Linked DNA regions of Sus scrofa. The protein of the gene in region 2 purifies or fractionates together with the protein of the main gene of each other region. This does not show direct contact. Links are inferred from orthologs where the notes say so. Each region holds a gene or a part of one and is shown on either strand. Other genes may lie near its edges.

Region 1 (10,269 bases), on a different chromosome or scaffold from region 2:
CCACATATGTGATTTTTTTTTTTTTTTTTTTTTTTTGTCTTCTGGCCTTTTTTTTCAGGGCCGCCCTCGCAGTATATGGAGATTCCCAGGCTAGGGGTCCAATCGGAGCTGTAGCCACTGGCCTACGCCAGAGCCACAGCAACTCGGGATCCGAGCCACATCTGCAACCTACGCCACAGCTCATGGCAACGCCGGATCCTGAACCTACTGAGCAAGGGCAGGGACCGAACCCGCAACCTCATGGTTCCTAGTCGGATTCGCTAACCACTGTGCCACGATGGGAACTCCCACATATGTGATATTAGAGTGTTTGCCTCTGATTTATCTCACTTAGCATAATGCCCTCCACGTCCATCTAGGTTGCTGCGAATAGCAAAATTTTATTCTTTTGTATGATTGAGTAGTATTCCATTGTGTGTGTGTGTGTGTGTGACATCTTTGTCCATTCATCTGTTGATAGACACTTAGGTTGTGCTGCCATATCGCAGCAATAGTAAGTAATGCAGCCATAAACATTGAGGTGCATGCATCTTTTCAAATAAGTGTTTTTGGTCATATGATAGTTTTATTTTTGTTTTGGGGGTTTTGTTTGTTTGTTTTGCTTTTTAGGGCCGCATGCCCAGCATATGGAAGTTCCCAGGCTAGGGGTTGAATTGGAGCTGCAGCTGCTGGCCTACACCACAGCCACAGTAATGCAAGATCTGAGCTGCTCTGTGACCTACACCACGGCCACAGCAACGCCAGATCCTTAACAAACTGAAGGAGGCCAGGGATGAAACCTGTGTCCTCATGGGTACTAGTCAGATTCGTTTCTGCTGATCCATGATGGGAACTCCTGGTGGTTCTATTTTTAGTTTTTGAGAAAGCTCTGTACTGTTTTCTACAGGGGCTACACTAATTTACATTCCCACCAACAGTGTACAGGGTTCCCTCTTCTCCACATGCTCACCATTTGTTATTTGTGTTCTTTTTGATGAGAATCATTTTGCCAGGTGGGAGGTGATATCTCATTATGGTTTTGATATGCATTTCCCTGATGATTAACAAAGCTAAGCATCTTTTCATGTGCCTGTTGGCCATCTGCATTTCCTCTTTAGAAAAATGTCTATTCAGTTCTGCCCATTTTTTAATCAGTTTGGTCTTTTTGATGTTCAGTTGTATGAGATGTTTATACATGTTGAATATTAATTCCCTATCAGTCATATCTTTTGCAAATATGTGTCCTGTTCAATAGATTGTCTTTTCATTCTGTTGATTGTTTCCTTTACTGTGCAAAAGCTTTTCAGTTTAAGTAGGTCCCATTTGTTCATTTTTGCTTTCATTTCCTTTAGGAGACAGATCCAAAAAAATGTTGCTGCAATTTATGTCGGAGTGTCCTGTCTATTTTTCCTCTAGGAGTTTCATACTATCTTGTCTTACATCTTACATTTAGGTCTTTAATCCATTTTGCGTTTTTTGTGTGTGTGTGGGTGTGTTTGCCATGCCCACAGCATGTGGAAGTTCCCTGACCAGGGATCAAACTCACACCACAGCAGCAACTGGAGCTGCTGCAGTGACAATGCCAGATACTTACTCCGCTGTACCACAAGGTAATTCCCAGTTTATTTTTGTAGATGGCGTTAGAGAATGTTCTAATTTTATTATTTTACATGTAGCTGTCCAGTTTTCCTAGCACCACTCTTTTTTTTTTTTTTTTTTTTTTTTTTTTTTTTTTTTCCGGCTGCTCCCTCAGCATGTGGAAGCTCCTGAGCCAGGGATCGAACTTGCACCAAGAAGAGACCCAAGCCACTGCAGTGACAATGCCAGATCTTTAGCCCACTGCAACACAGTGGGAATTCCTCCTAGCATCATTTATTGAAGAGACTATCTTTTCTTCATTGTATAGTCTTGCCTCTCTTTTTTTTTTAGGGCCGTACCCATGGCAAATGTAAGTTCCCAGGCCAGGGGTCAAATCAGAGCTACAGCTGCAGGCCTACACCACAGCCACAGCAATACAGGATCTAAGCCGCATCTTCGACTTACACCACAGCTCACGGCAATGCCAGATCCTTAACCCACTGGGCGAGGCCAGGGATCAAACCCACAACCTCATGGTTCCTGATCAGATTCATTTCCACTGTGCCATGATGGGAACTTCCGTAGCTCCTTGATTCAATGAAGAACCAAGTAAACTTACATCTGCTCACCAGCCTGAACTTTCTGCACAGCTGTCTACTAGATCATATAGCTAGGCAAAGTTATTTAATGCATTCTGAAAGCATCCTCTGCCTTCCCTGCTTGTGAATAGCCAGCTTTTCAGATGCCTACAACAACAGCTGTTCAAGAATTCAGGCTTAATCCATTCTCCACAGGTGTTGAGTCCAGAAGATTTGAGAATACATGAAGCAAAACAGGATGTAGAAGCATCAGGATGGCATCCAGAGGCTTTAGCTATGGAATGTGTGGGAAATATATGTTAATGCACACACCACTCATTTATAAAAATGGAGAAATGAAACAAAGACCCATGCTTTTGACATCTCCTTCAGGACTTCCTAACCTTTAAGAAGATTTATGCAATTTAATCTTTCTCTTCATTGTCTCATGCTTATCTAATCTCTCTTAATTCATTAGTTGGAGAACTTCACAATGGCTGTTCACCAGAGTACCTAAAGTCAAAATAATACCTGGCCCGGGAGTTCCCCATGTGGCTCAGTGGTTAACGAATCCGACTAGGAACCATGAGGTTGTGGGTTTGATCCCTGGCCTTGCTCAGTGGGTTAAGGATCCAGCGTTGCTGTGAGCTGTGGTGTAGGTCGCAGACCCAGCTTGGATCCCGTGTTGCTATAGCTCTGGTATAGGCTGGCGGCTACGTCTCCGATTAGACTCCTAGCCTGGGAAGCTCCAAATGCCACAGGAGCGGCCCTAGAAAACACAAAAAGACAAAAAAAAAAAAAAAAAAAAAAAAAAAAGACCTGGCATTGCCTTGAGCTGCGGTGTAGGTCACAGACTCGGCTCAGATCCCGAGGTGCTGTGTAGGCTGGCAGCTACAGCTCTGATTAGACCCCTAGCTTGGGAACCTCCATATGCTGTGGGTGGGGCCCTAGAAAAAGGCAAAAAGGCAAAAATAAATAAATAAAAATAAATTAAAAAAAACAAAGCAAAACAAATACCTGGCCCATGATAGGCATCGAACATTTGCTGAATGGAGATCATAGTTGGGTTTACATATAATACACAAAATATTCATTAGCATTAGGGTCACACCTCTGCTCTCTATCACACTGATTAAACTCACTTCATTGCGTTTATCTCATACCATCCTGTATATTAGGTTATCTATCGTTATCCTCAAAATTGTGATTAAGAAATAATAGTAATATCAAATTCCAATAATAACAGAGGCTACTTTTTTTTTGCTTTTTGCTATTTCTTGGGCCGCTCCCGCAGCATATGGAGGTTCCCACGCTAGGGGTCTAGTTGGAGCTGCGCCACCGGCCTACGCCAGAGCCACAGCAACGTGGGATCCGAGCCGAGTCTGCAACCTACACCACAGCTCACAGCAACGCCGGATCGTGAACCCACTGAGCAAGGGCAGGGACTGAACCTGCAACCTCATGGTTCCTAGTCGGATTCGTTAACCATTGCGCCACGACGGGAACTTCAAGAGGCTACTATTAATGAGGGTTCACTCTGAGGCAAGCATACCACACTCTTCTGTGAATTATTCCATTTGTTCTTAGCCAGACAGTAAATATTTAGCTATACGTTTCATATATGAGTTTTGTTAAATATTCATCCTTTCCCTCTTCTCCTTCCTCTTTACAATCCTTCAAAAATGTAAAAATTAGGAGTTCCCTGTGTCGTGCAGTGGAAAGGAATCCAACCAGTAAACCTGAGGATGCAGGTCTGATCTCTGGCCTCGCTTAGTGGGTCCGGGATCTGGTGTTGCTGTGGGCTAGTGGGTAGGTCACAGGTGCAGCTGGGATCCCGCATTGCTATGGCTGTGGTGTAGGCTGACAGCTGTAGCTCCAATTTACCCCTAACCTGGGAACCTCCATATGGCCTAAAAAACAACAAAACAAGTAAAAATTAAGAGTTGATGGCCGAGCAATTAAGGACTCAGTTGTCACTGCTGTGGCTCGATTATTGCTATGGCTCCAGTTCCATCCCGGCCCTGAAACTTCCACATGCCAAAACACAACAAAAACAAAAAAATAAAACTATGAAAATCATTTTTAGGTGCAAGCCATACAAAAGAAAATTGTAGGCTAGCGGTAGATACACATTATCTTCCTCTAGCAGATTATATTAAAACTGCAGCATAAGGAAACACATAATATACCCTTATTTTACTTATTGTAGATCTAGCACAATTGAATGTTAGCTCCATAAAGACAGGAAATTTTGTCCTCTTGGCTCACTACTCTTTCTTCACTGCTTGGAACACTGTGTGTAATTTGCTGAATAAAGGAAAGAATATATAAATGAACTTGGCCAAAGTTATGCGAAATGACTTGACTACTGATTACCTCAGGCAGGTTGCAGCTGCAGACTTCTGGTTACTAGATTTGGTATTAATCAGTGCTGGGAAGAAGCGAATTTCTTCTGGAGAGGGAGACAAATTACAGAAAATTTGGAAGCAGGACGGAAGATCCTTGCCCTCACTCAATATGGCGACAGGGCAGCGTGCCCTTTCCGGTCACATGATCTGCCTATTGCCAAAGGGTGCCTCCCCGCGCGTGCGTGCTGGGCCGCGGCTGCGAGGCGCTCAGGGAGAGGCGCTGCCGCCAGCGCCGCCGCTGGGACCCGTTAGAGCGGAAGCGCCTCCGCCGCCGCCGCCGCCGCCGCCGCCTTCGCTGTCTCGGGGCCCCAGGTTCCCGGCAGGTGGGAGGCGGGAGCCATGTCGAAGCGGCTCCGGAGCAGCGAAGTGTGCGCTGACTGCAGCGGGCCAGGTGAGTCTCATCAGCCGGGCCCGCTCCCCTCAGCTCTCCTGGCCAGGACCCCTGCCCCGGGGCCGCCCCTCGAGCCGGGCGGGTCCCGGCAGTCGACCTCTGCATCCCATGCCTGGGGTCACGACGAGGAGGAAGGGGGGCGGTCTTGGGGCAGAACCTGCCCCTGGCCTGTCAGAGCCGGGCGGGCAGGGGGCCGCCGCCCTCCCGCCCCTCCTTTCCCTTTCGTTCACTCTGTCCCAGGCCGTCCGGGGAGGCGGTGGGGTCGGAGCCGCTTTCCTAACAGGAAGGGGCTTGGGCAATCCACAGGAAGGCCAATTACAGAAGTAAAATGCGAGCGTCTTCCCGGCTGCGGCCCCCAGAGACTGCAGGTGTCACCACCCCCTTCCCACAGTCACCCAAGACCCCCGTCCCCGGAGGCGCCCTGCTGGTAGTGGGCGACGCTCACCCCTTCCCTCCACTGAGACTCGCCAGAGGACCCCCATGGACGATTTCGCCATTTCTGGCATCCCGACTCCCGCTCCACGGCAGAGAGTCTCCAGGATGTCGGGGTCTTGCAAACGCCACCTGCACTTGGGAGGCAATGCTTGGCTCAGGTTCTGAGATCTGAACCGTCTGAGTTCAAACTAGATGTTCCCTCTGGGTGACCTTGGGCTGGTGACTTCATTTGGCCGAGTCTTCATTTCCTCATTTTTCCGATGGGGATAATGGGGAGTATGGTGCTTAGCGGTAGGGAAGATTCAGTGAATATTCTTAGCATCATCTCATTTAAATTTTTTTCCCCTATTGTGTACAGAACCTTTACAGTCCCTTAAAACTATAGTTGAATTTCTAAATCATGCATTAATTACAGCTTACAAAACCAACACACACCACATCACTGACAAGTAGACCCATTTGGGCATTTAGGCAATATAGGCATATGGCAGCACTGAAAGGCCAAAACTAAACCTCCCATGTGTAGTTTTCGTCTTAGCAGTTGGAACTGAGTTGACAGGTCTCTGTACTGTTCTCAGTGCTTGTATTTTTCTGCTTTGAATTTGAAGTAATTCAAAAGGTAAAATGGCACCACAGCATCCAGTAAACAATCTTAATGAAACCATTGCGCACCAGTGTTTTTGCGACTGTTCCAAACTTTGTCTTGTCAGATGGAAGTGGAGACTGATTTTTAAATAGTACTATGATAATTCAAACCTTATGTGGTTATTTCATGGCCTCTATAATGTAAGTGGGGTTACCGGTTTCCTTTGAAGATAGGGAGACGGGTGGAGGAGTTTAAAAAGAGGTGTTTTAGAAACCAAGTTAATGTGTTATACAAACTCCATCGTATTCTCTAAAAATGTTATTTGTTCCACTTCCTTATTTTCTTGCCTCTTTTCGGTTGAACCTTCTGTGATGTTTGATTCTTATGAGTCTAGATTCAAACTTCCTCTTGAAATGCATTTTCTGTGCTTCTCAGTGGGTGGTATGAGGCAAAGGAAAAACTGCAGCTCCCTTGCTACACTAAACACTATCTTGCACCTCTGCAGCATTTTGTGCATTTCAGAACATTTTCTCTTCCATTGTTTCATTTTAGTTGTTGTCTCATATGCCTAATCTACAGAGACTTGAGTCACTTCCTTCCTGTTTTGAATATAATTAGGCTACCTTGAAATGTTCTGAACTTGAGCAGCCAGGAATTTGTGCTGTCTTTTCTGCAAAGCCCTATGAAAGTTACCTTTAGGGTTAGGGACCCCTTTGAGATTCTGATGAATGCTAAGGCCTTCTTGCCAGAAAATGCACACATAATTACTCTTTCACAGAGAATTTATGTTACGATTTTTCAGTGGAATCATAGACGTTTCTGAAGCCCATTTGTTGTCTTCTTAGAAGCCAGGTTAAGAAGCCATAGCATAAACCGTTCAGATAGACTGGAAGGGGTTCACCCAGCCTCTTGCATACAAACTCAGTTTGGATTTTACTGTGTTGTTAACATGGGATTCTGATTCATGACGTTAAGGTGATTAATAGGGAAACTTTCTTAATGTGTGTTAAATCCTTGCTGTTTTGTACCTGTTTAATTTCCTCCAAAGGAGATTGTGAATCTTCAGAATGATATGTGAAAATCAAAGCTAATCTTCAAAACAAATAGTCTTTTTGTATGTGTGTCATTAGTAGTAGTACCATACTGCAAAAAGCATTGTTCTAGGAGTTCCCTTCATGGCGCAGCAGAAATGAATCCGACTAGGAACCATGAGGTTGCAGGTTTGATCCCTGGCCTCTCTCAGTGGGTTAAGGATCTGGTGTTGCCAAGAGCTGTGGTGTAGGTGGAAGACGAGGCTCAGATCTGGCATTGCTGTGGCTGTGGTATTGGCCAGCAGCTGTAGCTGCAATTAGACCCCTAGCCTGGGAACCTCCGTCTGCTGCGGGTGTGGCCCTAAAAAAAGACAAAACAAAACAAACAAACAAAAGCATTGTTCTGTATCTTTGTAGGGATCCTTCATCTTGATGTTTCCACCCTTTGCCTTTTTTTTGGATGCACTGGTGCCATGTGGAAGTTCCAGGGCCAGGGATGGAATCTATACCACAGCAGCAACCCAGGCCGCTGCAGTGACAATACCTATCCTTAACCCACTGAGCCACAAGTGACTCCCCAATCTTTGCTTTTTAGAATGGCAGACAGAGTTGTACCTCACTGAATAATTTTGTTTCTGTCTTATTTCATGGCAAACATTTGATAACCATGATCAAATCTTAATAACTAGTTTTACCTTTAAAAAAAATGAATCTAGTTCATATCCTTCTGTGAGTTCAACTACCTGAAAATTCCCCTGAGATTTTTCACTATAGTAATACAGTATTTGTGTGAAACAGTCAGTGTTTTAAGTATTAACAGTCAAAACCTTTTTCCAATGGTCATGAATTTCGTTGGCTTTTGAAAATATTTGAATGGTACTTACCAAAATGATTTAGAAACGTTGTAACAGCTACCATTACGGAGTACTTCCTATATGCAAGGAATTTTGCTTGTTCTTTATATCCTCACTACCCTGGATTGTGTTGTTCCTCCAATTTGATCCATAATGAGGACTCTCAAAAAGAAATAACTTGCCTGAGATCATTGTGCAAGAAGTGGCAGAGTTGGGGTTCAAACCCTGGACTGCTTGTCTCCAGAGCCATCCCTCTTAACCACTACACTCTCTGACTCCTGATTTGTCTTTGATTGAAATCCCATAACTTTTCATTTTATGGCTAGAAAGGGTTTGAATAAACTGTTAAAAATGGTAAAGATGGTGTACATGCATTTTCGAGATTTTTGTGGACATTGAAGAATTTTTAAATATAACCCTTAAGCCAGGCAGCTTGAGCGGCAACTATTGTCACTCCATTGTGAGTCTGATGAAATGTAGAAGGTCTGTCTTTATTTTGAATTTCTAAGTGTCTAGTTTACTTCCCCAGTGTGAATTATTCATACTGCTTACCAAGTGTGAATTATTCCTTGTTTCAAAGGATGTCTAATGAAGCTCTGTAGGACTTCATAGGAAAAAAGTATTATATGCACACCAAAAGTATTACTCTAGGGAGGTCCCTGGTGGCTCAGCAAGTTAAAGATCTGGCATTTTCACTGCTATGGTGTGGGTTCTATCCCTGGCCTGGGAACATTTGCATGCCTTGAGCGAGGCCAGAAAAAAAAATCACTCATTTGTATTTTACATCTTTGCCTCTGTGAGGCTGCTGTTTTTACAACTTCTGTTACTTCAGATCAGCTGTGAGATCGGACTCAGTAGTTTATTTACAACTACTAATGGATATCATAGCACATTTCTTACGGAGGAGTCTAGGTTTCTTAGTCTGTCTTCAGAACCACAGCAGTTGAACAGTTTTATAGTCATGTATGCTTGCAGCTTTCTGCTAAGCCCAGAGGCAGGTAGATATGTAGCATGTGTTAGGGTAGCCATCTTTTTACTGCTCTCTTCACATGTCGCTCTGCGGATTGTCACTGACACAGGTATGTTATCTTGCCATTTGTGGAGATGGATTCAAAATGATTCATGTGAATGCTCTCAACTTGCTTCTTTTACACTGAATGAAAGAGCACACATCTGTGATGATAGATCATATTAGGGTGTCAGATTGTGGCCTTGAACCAGAGAGGAGAGAAGTGCTTATTTAGGGCTGTAATCAGGTTTTCAGTCTCAGTAGATTTGTGCCCCCAGCCAAGGCAGGGGTTATCTTCAGACAGGCTCACCAGCTTGATATGCTGACTAGCATACTAAAACAACAAAGATGTCCTGTTTTTCTGAAAAACCAAATCTCAGTCATCTTTTGCCATCTGGCGGTATAGCAACCACTTGGTATCCTTGCCACTGATTTCATTCTTCTTTCCAGATCCTTCCTGGGCATCAGTAAATAGGGGAACTTTTATATGTGACGAGTGCTGCAGTGTCCATCGGAGTCTAGGGCGCCATATCTCTCAAGTAAGGCATCTCAAACACACACCATGGCCTCCAACATTGCTTCAGGTAAAGAATAAGAATTCTTCTCATGTTTGTAATTTACATCTTTAGGGCTCAATGTTTTAGCAACTAAAATTATACTTCTAAATCATAATTGAATAGAAGTGCCATGCTTATCAATGCTATATACAAGTATTAAATTCATCATTTAAGATTCTTTTTCCCCTCCTAATGTAAATCTTGTCCCAAAAACTCAGTTACAGGCAGTCATTAAAATTTCTTGCTTATGTTTCATTGCTGACTTTCTAAAATGTCACCAGAAGTTGTTTTTAAAGCCCATCTTTTCCACGTACCATGATCAATGTTTCTTAAAGTGACTGCCCTTTGAAACTTTTCATTGTTTCCTGCTTTGATGGAAGCATGGACTGGGATTCCTCAGAAATTTCTGAAACATCTGATTTAGGTTTTCTTAAAGTTCTTATAACTAGTTAGAGACAATTAAGTTATGTCTGGATTGAATGTCTAACACCCTGCTAAGTGTTAAGTGGGCTCTTTGTTTTATTTGGGGGTCCATTGTCATGTCACCTGTACTTCTATTTTGGGGTACACATTCTTCAAGTTCTGTTGGAACTCAGACTTAAGCATGTGTTTCGCCTTCATTTGTCTTGAGGACATATTTTACTGAATCTGTGGCAGCTGCACAACACATCCCTTAAACTTCCCTATATGAACCAAAGGATCGGAGCAAGTGAGCTTGGATCTCTGATGTGACAGATATCTCCGCTAATGTAAAAAACGAGGAGTAATGTCAGGAGTCATGCTTTGAATTGAAACTGGGCGATACGGCTTATTAATAACTTTTGCTAAGAAGTTTCTAACAGCTCATTCTCATGTGAAAATGG
Region 2 (10,307 bases):
TTCATGACACTCATTTATATTTTGATGATTGATGCTAATTGCTATGATATGGAATCAAAGAATTTATGGTGAGGTGACCTCTCTGTGACCTCCCCCAAACTTATAAAACATACTACTGGCAGGTAATTGAATATAGGATTTGGGTAAGTTGAGAGAATGAAATAATGTAGAGTAAGTATGCTCTTCAGGATTGTCCTAGTCAGTGATAGGATGGTAGGTTTAGCCATCTCTCTGATTTCTTGCCCCTCAGACATTACTTCTGGGATTACCGTCTTCCTGAAGTATATCTTTTATAGATGCCCCTTCAGTAACTCCCTGTGGTTAGTAACATCTCTGCTTTTGTTTGATGATATCTTTATTTCACCCTCACTTCTATGACTGATAGTTTAGTGAGGTATATAGTTCTAAGTTTATTTTCTCTTGATAGTTTAAAAATATTTTTCCATTGTCAGATGGTACCCATTGTTGCAGTTGAGAAATCTATGCTAAATTTAATAGTTGTTTCCTGGTAAGAGATGTCTTTTCTTTCTTGTTTCTTTATCTTTGGTATCCTGCAGTTTCACTTTGTTGTATTTGAAAAGATTTCCTTCACTTATCCTGGTTGAGATTCACTTTGCCTTTTGAATCTGAAGGTTCTTGCCTTAAATTAATTCTGGAAAATTCTCTGCCATTATCTCACCATAAACTACCTCTTTTGATTTTCCTTTTCTCTCTTACTTGGGTTTCTCATTAGGAATGATGGAATACCTTCACAATCTAACCCACCTCTCAATCTTTCTTTCATATTTCCTTTGTCTCTGGGCTGCTATCAATAATTTCTTTAGATCTAGCTTCCATTTTACTAATTCTCTCTTCAACTGTATGTAATCTGCCACTTAACCCAAACATTGACCTTGGTTTCAGTTATTATATTCTTTATTTCTCGAAGTTCTGCTTGGCTCCTTTTCAAAGCTCTTTTGTCATTTAAAAAAATAGTGTCTTGCTTTCAGAGTTCCTGCTGTGGCTCAGCGGAAGCAAATCTGACTAGTATCCATGAGGACACAGGTTTGATCCCTGGCCTCGCTCAGGGGGTTAAATCCAGCGTTGCTGTGATCTGTGGTGTATGTCACAGATGTGGCTCAGATCTGGTGTTGCTGTGGCTGTGGTGTAGGCCAGCAGCTGCAGCTCCGATTTGACTCCTAGCCTGGGAACCTCCATATGCCGTGGGTTTAGCCCTAAAAAAAAGTGTCTTGTAAAAAAATAAATAAAAAGAAAAAAAAAAGAAAATGTCTTGTTTCTTATTCCTGTCTTACTTTGCTTAATCATTTTAAGAAACATTGGAATTATAGGTTATGGAATATAAACTATCTAAAGTTCATGGGTGTCATTATTCTGTTTATGGTTTCTTTTGATTCACTCATGGCTGATTTTCTCAGATGTGTTGTCATTATTTTTTGGATGTTCATGTTTAACTTTTTCTTTTTTTCTTTTTTGGCCACACCCATGGATTACGGAAGTTCCTGGGCCAGGGATCAAATCTGAGCCACAGTTGTGACCTATGCCATAGCTGTAGCAATGGTGGATCTTTAACTCACTGTGCCACAGCAGAAACTCCTTATGTCTAACTCTTGATAGCCTGTTTATCTCTGGGAATCCTTTCAGTTCTGGATTAAGAATGAGCCTGTGCAGTGAGAATTTGTATTTGTTTCTTCCAGACCTCTCAGCATTACCAGCCTGGGACACTTTCTTGACTTGAGGTTTCCCAGACAGTGTAGGTACTGTAAATTTGACCTTTCAAATTTGAATTCCAAAGGGTAATTTTTTTTTTCCCTTTGATGCCAAGTCCAGACTAAAACACACAGATATCTGCATGTCTCCCTGGACTGGTACAGGGGATTTTTTTTTTTTTCCAGTCTATTCTTATTTATTTATTTATTTTTATTTATTGTCTTTTTGACTTTTCTAGGGCTGTTCCCTCGGCATATGGAGGTTCTCAGCTAGGGGTCAAATTGGAGCTGTAGCCGCTGGCCTATGCCACAGCCACAGCAACACGGGATCCGAGCCGCGTCTGCAACCTACACCACAGCTCACAGCAACGCCAGATCCTTAACCAACTGAATAAGGCCACGGATTGATCCCACAACCTCATGGTTCCTAGTCGGATTCGCCAACCACTGAGCCACGACGGGAACTCCCTTCCAGTCTATTCTTGGAGCATATAGCCCTTTGAGTTTTCCAGCCTTGTGCAGGATTGCAGTCCCAACTCCTTGAACAGGGCCAAGGCCTTGTCTTTGGTCTCTTGTCTCTTGTGCAGTCAGTAAAACCATGGAGATTTGAGATAAGTAGTTTCTTTCAACACAACTTTGGCTTCACTGACATGCTTACCCCTCCAATTTCTTGCTCTCCCTTTGGGTTGAGTGGGAGTTTGGAAATCTGTCAGAGGTACTTCTCTTTCTTAAAAGCTTAGTTATGCCTTTGAAAGGATGTTCTCTTTTATCCAGCAATGTGTTTTTAATAGTGGGGGCTGTTTTTCAAGTTATCTAATAGTGTGCCATATTGCTCCTTGAATCTTTTCTCTCGTACTTTCCACATCAGTTGAGTTTTTTGCTTCACATCTATCAAAAGAACATACCCATTCTCCATTTTCACTGCTATCTCTTATGACAGTCATGATTACTGCCTCCTTTCTTCATTCCCTTCTATTCTTGAAAACCCAGAGTCCATTCTCCATGTAGCAATCTAGTGACCTTAAAGTATAAACCAGGAAACCTTCCTTCCCTGCTTACAGCTCTTTAATAGCTTGTTGGAATAAAATCCAGCCTTCTTACCATGTCATTCAGGATCCTCTCTGACCTGAATCTTGTCTCCTCAGGTGTTTTTTCACACTGCGCTACTCTTCTTGCACTAACTCCAGTTACACAGACCCTCTTAACTGACCTTAGAAAGTCCCCCCCCACCTCCTTCTGCTTGTAATGCTTTCTCCTGGGAGTTTCTCATGGCTGTCTCTTTCTGTTCTCAGCTTAAATGTCACCTCCTTAAAGATGCCTTCTCTGGCCAACTTATCCAAAGAAATCATCCTAGTTTTTTCTTCATACCAGGTATCACTATTTTAATTATTGTGTTTTCATATTTGTAAGTTACACAAAGTGACTTGTGTTCACCCTTGTATTCCTGATACCCAGCAGTGTCTGGTACAAATTAGACACCAAAATATTTGTAGAATTAGTGAACACATTGATGAACTCCTCCTCCTCCATGAATAAAACAGAGGCATTAATTTGCAAGGAGGCGCGACTTAATTTAGCACCAAAATACATTAATAAGAGTTGTAGGTAAAGGGCAAAATGGGTAACGGATGAATTCCCAGAAACAAATGTCTTAGAGCAGGTTCATATAATAACAGTTGTCTTTCAGCGTCTTTGGTTGGCACAGACCTGAGTGGAGACAATGCTGAATTACACGAGGCACTGGCTGTCTCTGTCAATAAAAAGAATACTAGAGATGGAGGGAGGGAGGAAAAGAAGAGAGATAAGAGGCACACATCTCTAAACTACAACTCCCAGCAGCCTCCGCGTTTGCCTGCCCACTGGGAGGCGGTGCCTGTCTCCGCCCGGTGGAGCTCCCGCCTTCGGCCCCGCCCCTGCCCGCTCCCCGCCGTCGCCCTCCCCCAGGGTTGTGGCCACGCGCAGCGGCAGCGGTTGTTCCGCTTCCCCTCTGGCCTGGGCCGTCGCCATTGCCGAAGGCTCCCTGCCCTCCCCTCCCGGCGCCCGCGGGGCTCGGCGGCCGCCCGGCCTAGCAGTAGAAGCCGCGGCGCTCCAGCGCGGCTCCACTTCCCGCCCCGCTTCCCCTTCCCTCCCCTCCCCGCCCCGCGTCGCTCTCTTGCTCGGGGCGGCTCCTGATCCCGCCAGGAGCTCGGCCGGAGGCTCCTCGCTGGGGCGGGGACCTTTCCTCGCCTGGGGTAAGTGTGCAGACAGGCCGGGACGCGGGCCGTCGCTCTCCTTCCTCCTTCCTTCTCCGCGGCCTGGCCGGCGCGAGCGGCCCGGGGCAGCTGACCTGCCCCGCGCGGGGCCGGGAAGCCGCCACCTGCGTGCCTGGAGCGGCAACTCTTGGGGCGGTGGCTCATTGTCTGCGCCCTCGGGCTGTTTTCTTCTCCGGTTTTAGCCTGAAATGGGAAGCTTGCTAGGCTGGTGAGTTCTGACTCTTCCTGGACCCGGCCCTGCCCTGAACCGTGTCGCGCCAATCTCTGCTCTCTGTCGATCTCCCTTCCCTCGCGTTTCAGCCTTCTCTTTTTCTCCATTTACTTTAGTGTTCGACTCACCGTTTCGGGGTTTTTAACTCGATTTTTTGTCTCTTACCGAGTTCCAGCCCCACCTTGCTACCTTTGGTCATCCCAGTTTCATTGCTTAGGCATATTGTCTGTAGTCCCCTTACTGGTTTCTAAACTGTAATCTGTGATATCTTCCATATTCCGGATCAGTAGAAACTATAGTTTTCCGAGGGTTTGAGGGCCTCCGCTTGATAACTGAGCTTTCGTATCTTCTCGTGATTCTTTGATCTTCAGCCAGGAGATGAATATTTGCTTCCTTAGGTAACTTAGGTGAAGGTTAGCTTTCACCATGTTTGGCTTTCTTTAAAATAACACACACATGCAAAACGGTACCGAAAATTCCTCAGCGGACTCAACTTTTTGACTAATTCTTTAAAGATAGAGTCATCCAAGAACTGAAGATTGGAAAGCAATTGCCATTGTTGTCAGTTGTCGTGGGGTTGTACCCGTCCTTGTCTCTTATCTTTAATGGAAACACTCTGGACAGTGAGAGCGTGATTTCTTTCCTCCTTGATGAATAATGCCAACTCCCATTGGTATAATTATCACAGTTTTGTCTTACAAGTGATCTATAGTTTTTTGTTTTCTTTTTAAAGCTCTGTTAAAAGACAATCAAAATGGTTAGGCCTAAAATTAGACTACGACGAGCAGTGTTTTGGATCAAGGTTGTGCACGTCACGTTTTTTCCCCTCCTCTGTTTGACTCTTCCGCTCTTGTAAGTAGGCAGGATATTGAAATGTAGAAGAATTTGCTCTGGGGGTTTGTTTTTGTAGGGTTACTCAAAAGAATAACATTAAATAAAGTTAGATTGTGATGAAGGCAGTGAATAGTAATTTTTAAAGCAGGTTAGAACTTGTCAACTTTGCCAGAAGCTCTGCGGCATTTATAAAACACACTTATAATAACTTCTACATGTTTTATATATGTGTATTTAAAAAATATGCATGTGAATGAAAAGCTTTGTTCATGTTCTTCTGCTAAGGGTATTGATTTAAGGCAACTCCTTTCATCCTTAGCTTTAAAATCTTTCTGGTTATTAATTAGCCCAAAACACTGACTTACGTTATGAAAAATGCACCTTAAGATGTTTCTGACCTGTAATATATGGAGGTATTAAACCCCACTTTCAGGTTTTGGTGAAGGAGGTTGACCTAAATTCAGTGAATTTTGTGTTTTCACTAGTTTATTGTTACCTAAACGACTTAGTCCTAAGCTTCACTATTGTCAAATTGGTGGTGTCTGTTGTCCTTACTTCAGTGACGTGCCTTGTTGGCCTAAGGGGTTAAGGTATGGAAGTGCTGGCGTGTGAAACAAGGTCCATTGAAGTCAGCCTCTCTGCCAGTTCTTTCTGTAAGCAGATACTTTTACTTGGGAAGAGTTCTGGGTGTTCTCCCCTTAGGTTGGGGCCTTGATTCCTAGTTTACTTTACCATTATTCAAAGAGAGGGTTATTCTTTGGGGCTTTGTGACATTAAGTACTAACCTGGGAAACCCAAATTCATAAAGTAAGTTTGTGGTAGGAGTCTGTCCACAAAACAAATGAATAGGGGTTTCTTTGGTTTTCTCATTTCTATGATAAGCAGATTTCCAGTAGACATGGTCATCAGTGATATATATGTCTTCTCAATTACACTTTTTTAAAGAGAAAACTTAGAACTTGTCCAAGTGGCTAAGGATAAACTTTCAATTATTTTAAAAGAGAGACCTTGTTCAGACAGCTAGGGATAAAATAAGTAGGTATTAAATTCTCCCCATGTTTAATCTGTCAATATTGATTAACCTAATATTTGAGTGTAACATTTCTTTTGGCTTTCTGAATTGTCTAGTTTTGATTAAAAACGTGAAACTGTGCCTTGTTCAAGTCTTTAAGAATTTGGGGTTCTGATCAGTTTTCAAAAGGCCTTCCAGTTAGAGGGCTAATTGCAGACCACGGGGCAGGGGGGAGAGGGGGTGTTAAGGTGCAGATCTGGGTTGACCCTTATAACCTTCTTGTACCTTGGTAGAAACAGAAAGAGGTGGAAGAAAATAGCCCCTGTTGCCTTAAAGAATTTTGTTTTCTTCTGGGAACGGAGTTGAGTCTCACTGCTTCTTCATTTTAGGATCACTAACCTGAATAAGAATAGTCGGTCTGAACATTCAGGCCAGATTTCAGAGGCCTAGCCTATTATCTCTAAGGTACACTAGTACTTACCGCTCCGTGTATCACAAGTGCTTAGGAGCTGGAGACCATCCTGGCTCTTCTGCTTGACCCCAGGCAAGATACACACATCTTTTTTAAGATGTGTGGGGTTTTTTTAATATGTAAAGTGAGGATTAATAACAGTATAATACATCTCCATAGGGCTATTTAAAGCAAATGATATAATGCAGGGAAAGTACTTAGCAAATGCAATGCTTAAATGCTTAATAGATGTTAGTTAATATTCCATTCTAAAGTAGGTTTTATATTTAATTGCTTCTACAGCAAATATCATACTTCCAAACTTAAAGACTGCTTTCTGAAAGTGGTTGGAATCTCAGGGCCGAGTTTCTGAGACCATAACTTTTACATTAAAAATTACTTTTCAGGAAAAAAAGAAAAGTTTCACTGTTGAAATAAAATGCAGATTATTATTATTTTTTTAAATGGTCACATCTGTGGCTTATAGAAGTACCTGGGCTAGGGCTTGAATCCAAGCTGCAGCTGTGGGATCACTGCATCCTTTAACCCACTGTGCTGGGGCCGGGGATTGAAGCCTTGCCTCCGCAGTGACTCGAGCCGCTGCAATCAGGTTCTTAACCCACTGTATCACTGTGGGAACTTCAAAATACAGATTTTTGAATACATGTTTCTCAAATTTTAAAATAAACGTCTTTCTCATAGAAAATTTAGCAAATAGTGAAAATTATTAAGAAATAGGATAAGGGAGTTCCCATCGTGGCTTTGCGGTAATGAATCTGACTAGGATCCATGAGGATGCGGCATCCATCACTGGCCTCGCTCAGTGGGTCAGGGATCTGGCATGGCTGTGGTGTAGGCCAGCAGCTATAGCTCCAGTTCGACCCCTAGCCTGGGAACTTCCATATGCCACAGGTGTGGCCCTAAAAAGCAAAAAAAAAAAAAAAAAAGAAAGAAAGAAATAGGACAGAATTACTATACAAAAATCAGCCCCCAGAAATAACCACAGACTAGAATAGTGTTGTTTTCCTTATTTTTAAATTAAATTCTAAAAATAGTCAATATATGCTTTTTACAAAATGTTCAAGTCAGTTATTTAGAGTAAAAAGTGAAAATTAATTAATTTCCTTGCTTTCTAGTCCCATTCCTTACAGGTACCCACTGATAACAATTTTGTTTTCTTTATGCAATTAGAAATAAGCACTGTGTGTTTGTAGTTTTACCTTGTTTTTTTTTAATGAAAAATCTAATCATTATAAATACTTTTCCATCTCAGTATATGTAGTTATACCTCATCTTTTTTTTGTTTTTTACCTTATCCATCATACGGTTGTACTTAATTATTCATGGTTATTTGTTATTTCCATTTTCGAGCTACTAAAACCACAACTTTAATGAACTTCCTTATACCTTTGTGCACATGCATATGTATACAAGTATTTCTATGAAGAGGTGTTTTTTTTTTTTTTTTTTTTGGCCACCCTGTGGCATGTGGAGTTCCTAGGCCAGGGATTAGGTCAAAGTTGCAGCTGTGACAACTCTGAATCCTTAACCCACTGTGCTGGGCTGGAGATGGAACCTGCATCCTGTTTCCCAGCACTCCAGAAATGCCACCCATTCCGTCACCACAGTGGGAACTCCCTTAAAGGGGATTCTTAAGTGTGCATTTTAAGTTTTGATAGATGCCAAATTTCCTTCCTAAAAGGCTGTACTAATCTATACTTAATTACGTTGCAGAAGGCCTTTACACATAGTAGATATTAATCCTTTGTTTTCTGTTTAAGATCTTTCCCATTTTGCATTTATTAAAAAAAAAAAAAAAACAGTTTTCTGGGAGTTTCCATGTGGCTCAGCAGGTTAAGGAGTTGTCACTGCAGTGGCTCGGGTCTCTGCTATGGCACTGGTTTGATCCCTAGCCTGGGGATATTCTGCATGCTACAGGCATAGCTAAAAAACAAACAATCTTATGTTTTCTTCTGGTACTTTAATAATTGTTATATTTGAATTTTAATACTTATGGAATTTGTGTGTGTGTGCATGGTGAGTTAAGAGTTTTTAAAATATAAGATAGCTGGAGTTCCTGTTGTGAGGGCTCAGCAGAAATGAATCTGACTAGTAACCATGAGGACACAGGTTCAATCCCTGGCCCCGCTCAGTGAGTTAAGGATCCAGCATTTCCATGAGCTGTGGTATAGGTCGCAGACTCGACTCGGATCTGGTGGTGCTGTGGCTGTGTCGTAGGCTGATTTGACCCCTAGCCTGGGAACCTCCATATGCCATGGGTGAGGACCTAAAAAGACAAAAGACAAAAATGAAATAGTTTGGCTATTGAAATAAAATACAGGTATAAAAATATTTTAGGAGTTTGATATAAAAAATAGCCACGTTATAGGAATTCAAAGAGGAATATTTTAATGGTTTTATTCTAAGTATCTCATCTGAAATGGGGAAACATGCCCCTCTTTGGCTCCTATTTCTTGTCATCTACCTAATTCTTAGCCTTCAAATTCCAGCTTTTGAGTATAGCTTTCTTTGGGAGTCTTTCCTGATCTTCACTATGATTTAAATATTCTTATTGCTTTTATATGTTTTCTTAACATGTTGATTCATAATCTTTATTTGCAGTGTGCTGAAAGAATGAGTTATTCTTCTGGAAATGAGAGTTATTTCTCAATTTTTGTCAGCGGAAACTAATTGAAAGGAAGATGCAAAGAACTCAGTAGTGTTGATTAAAAGTGATACGTATATATACATATACATACAGGGCTCTTTTAACCTGCATTTCTGAGTCCTGCCTTACATCTTTCTGATCAAGTTATTCTGTTACCTTGTAGGTAATTTTTTTTTCATGTAAATTTTTATAGGTTCTGGAAAAATAGAAGGTTTTGTTTTGATCTTGCATTTATTTCTTAAGAACAAAGTCTTTTAAAGTATAATTTCAGCTTTTAAAAAATTAATTCCTATTCCTTTTAATTTTGAGATTATTTCATAATTTATAGGCTTAGAAGCAAAAATGTTATGTAAGAAACATATGAACAAGAGTTGGGGTAGGAGTTCCTGTTGTAGCTCAGCAGTGATGAACTTGATGAGGATGCGGGTTGGATCCATGGCCTCCCTCAGTGGGTTAAGGATCTGGCCTTGCTATGGCGTAGACCAGCTGCTACATCTGGGAGCTTCCATATGCCGCAAGTGTGCCCCTGAAAAGAAAAAAAAAAAAAAAAAAAAAAGGAGTTGGGGTAAAACTCTTTAAACACAATTTCAGATGCTCTAAAGAGCACATTATTAAAGAATAAAAAGTGGCACAGTGGAAACGAATCCGACTAGGAACCATGAGGTTGCCGATTCCATCCCTAGCCTCACTCAGTGGGTCAGGGATCCAGCATTGCCTTGAGCTGTGGTGTAGGTTGCGTTGCAGATGTGGCTTGGATCTGATGTGGCTATGGCTGTGGTGTACACTGCTGGCACCTGTAGCTCTGATTTGACCTCTGGCCTGGGAACCTTCATATGCCACCAGTGCTGGCCTAAAAAGTCAAAAGTCAAAAAAAAAAAAAAAAAGAAAGCAAAAGTAAATACATAAATAAATTGCTTCATTGGCAGGTATAATAGTAGAAATATGGCCAGATGTTTGATAAAGTTTCATTGTTGTAAATCCTTTCTGAACTTTTCTCACCTTCCTACTATTTGAAACTACTCCATTACCCATGGATAACTACTGTTAATAGTTTGATGTTTCTTTAGATTTGTGTTGTACATAGTTTACTCCTATAAAATTGCAATAATATTCTTATAATTTGCTGTCTTTTTTTCTTAATATTAAATCTTGAAAGTTTCCCTCTGTTTTTCT

What was found. Proteins that work in one complex are often made in the same cells at the same time.
Region 1: the proteins of PAK2 (region 2) and GIT2 purify together in Homo sapiens (affinity purification with mass spectrometry; 3 studies listed by BioGRID and IntAct, with this or other methods). This does not show direct contact. The link is inferred for Sus scrofa from reciprocal best matches to the Homo sapiens genes PAK2 and GIT2.

What each region holds. Positions count from the first base shown.
Region 1 is NC_010456.5:40,991,261-41,001,529, forward strand, and holds the start of GIT2 (ARF GTPase-activating protein GIT2), read left to right. Parts: upstream 1-4,729; 5' UTR 4,730-4,882; coding exon 4,883-4,934; intron 4,935-9,299; coding exon 9,300-9,433; intron 9,434-10,269. UniProt on the Homo sapiens protein: GTPase-activating protein for ADP ribosylation factor family members, including ARF1.
Region 2 is NC_010455.5:133,376,794-133,387,100, reverse strand, and holds the start of PAK2 (serine/threonine-protein kinase PAK 2), read left to right. Parts: upstream 1-3,594; 5' UTR 3,595-3,937; exon of another isoform or gene 3,938-4,166; intron 4,167-10,307. UniProt on the Homo sapiens protein: Serine/threonine protein kinase that plays a role in a variety of different signaling pathways including cytoskeleton regulation, cell motility, cell cycle progression, apoptosis or proliferation.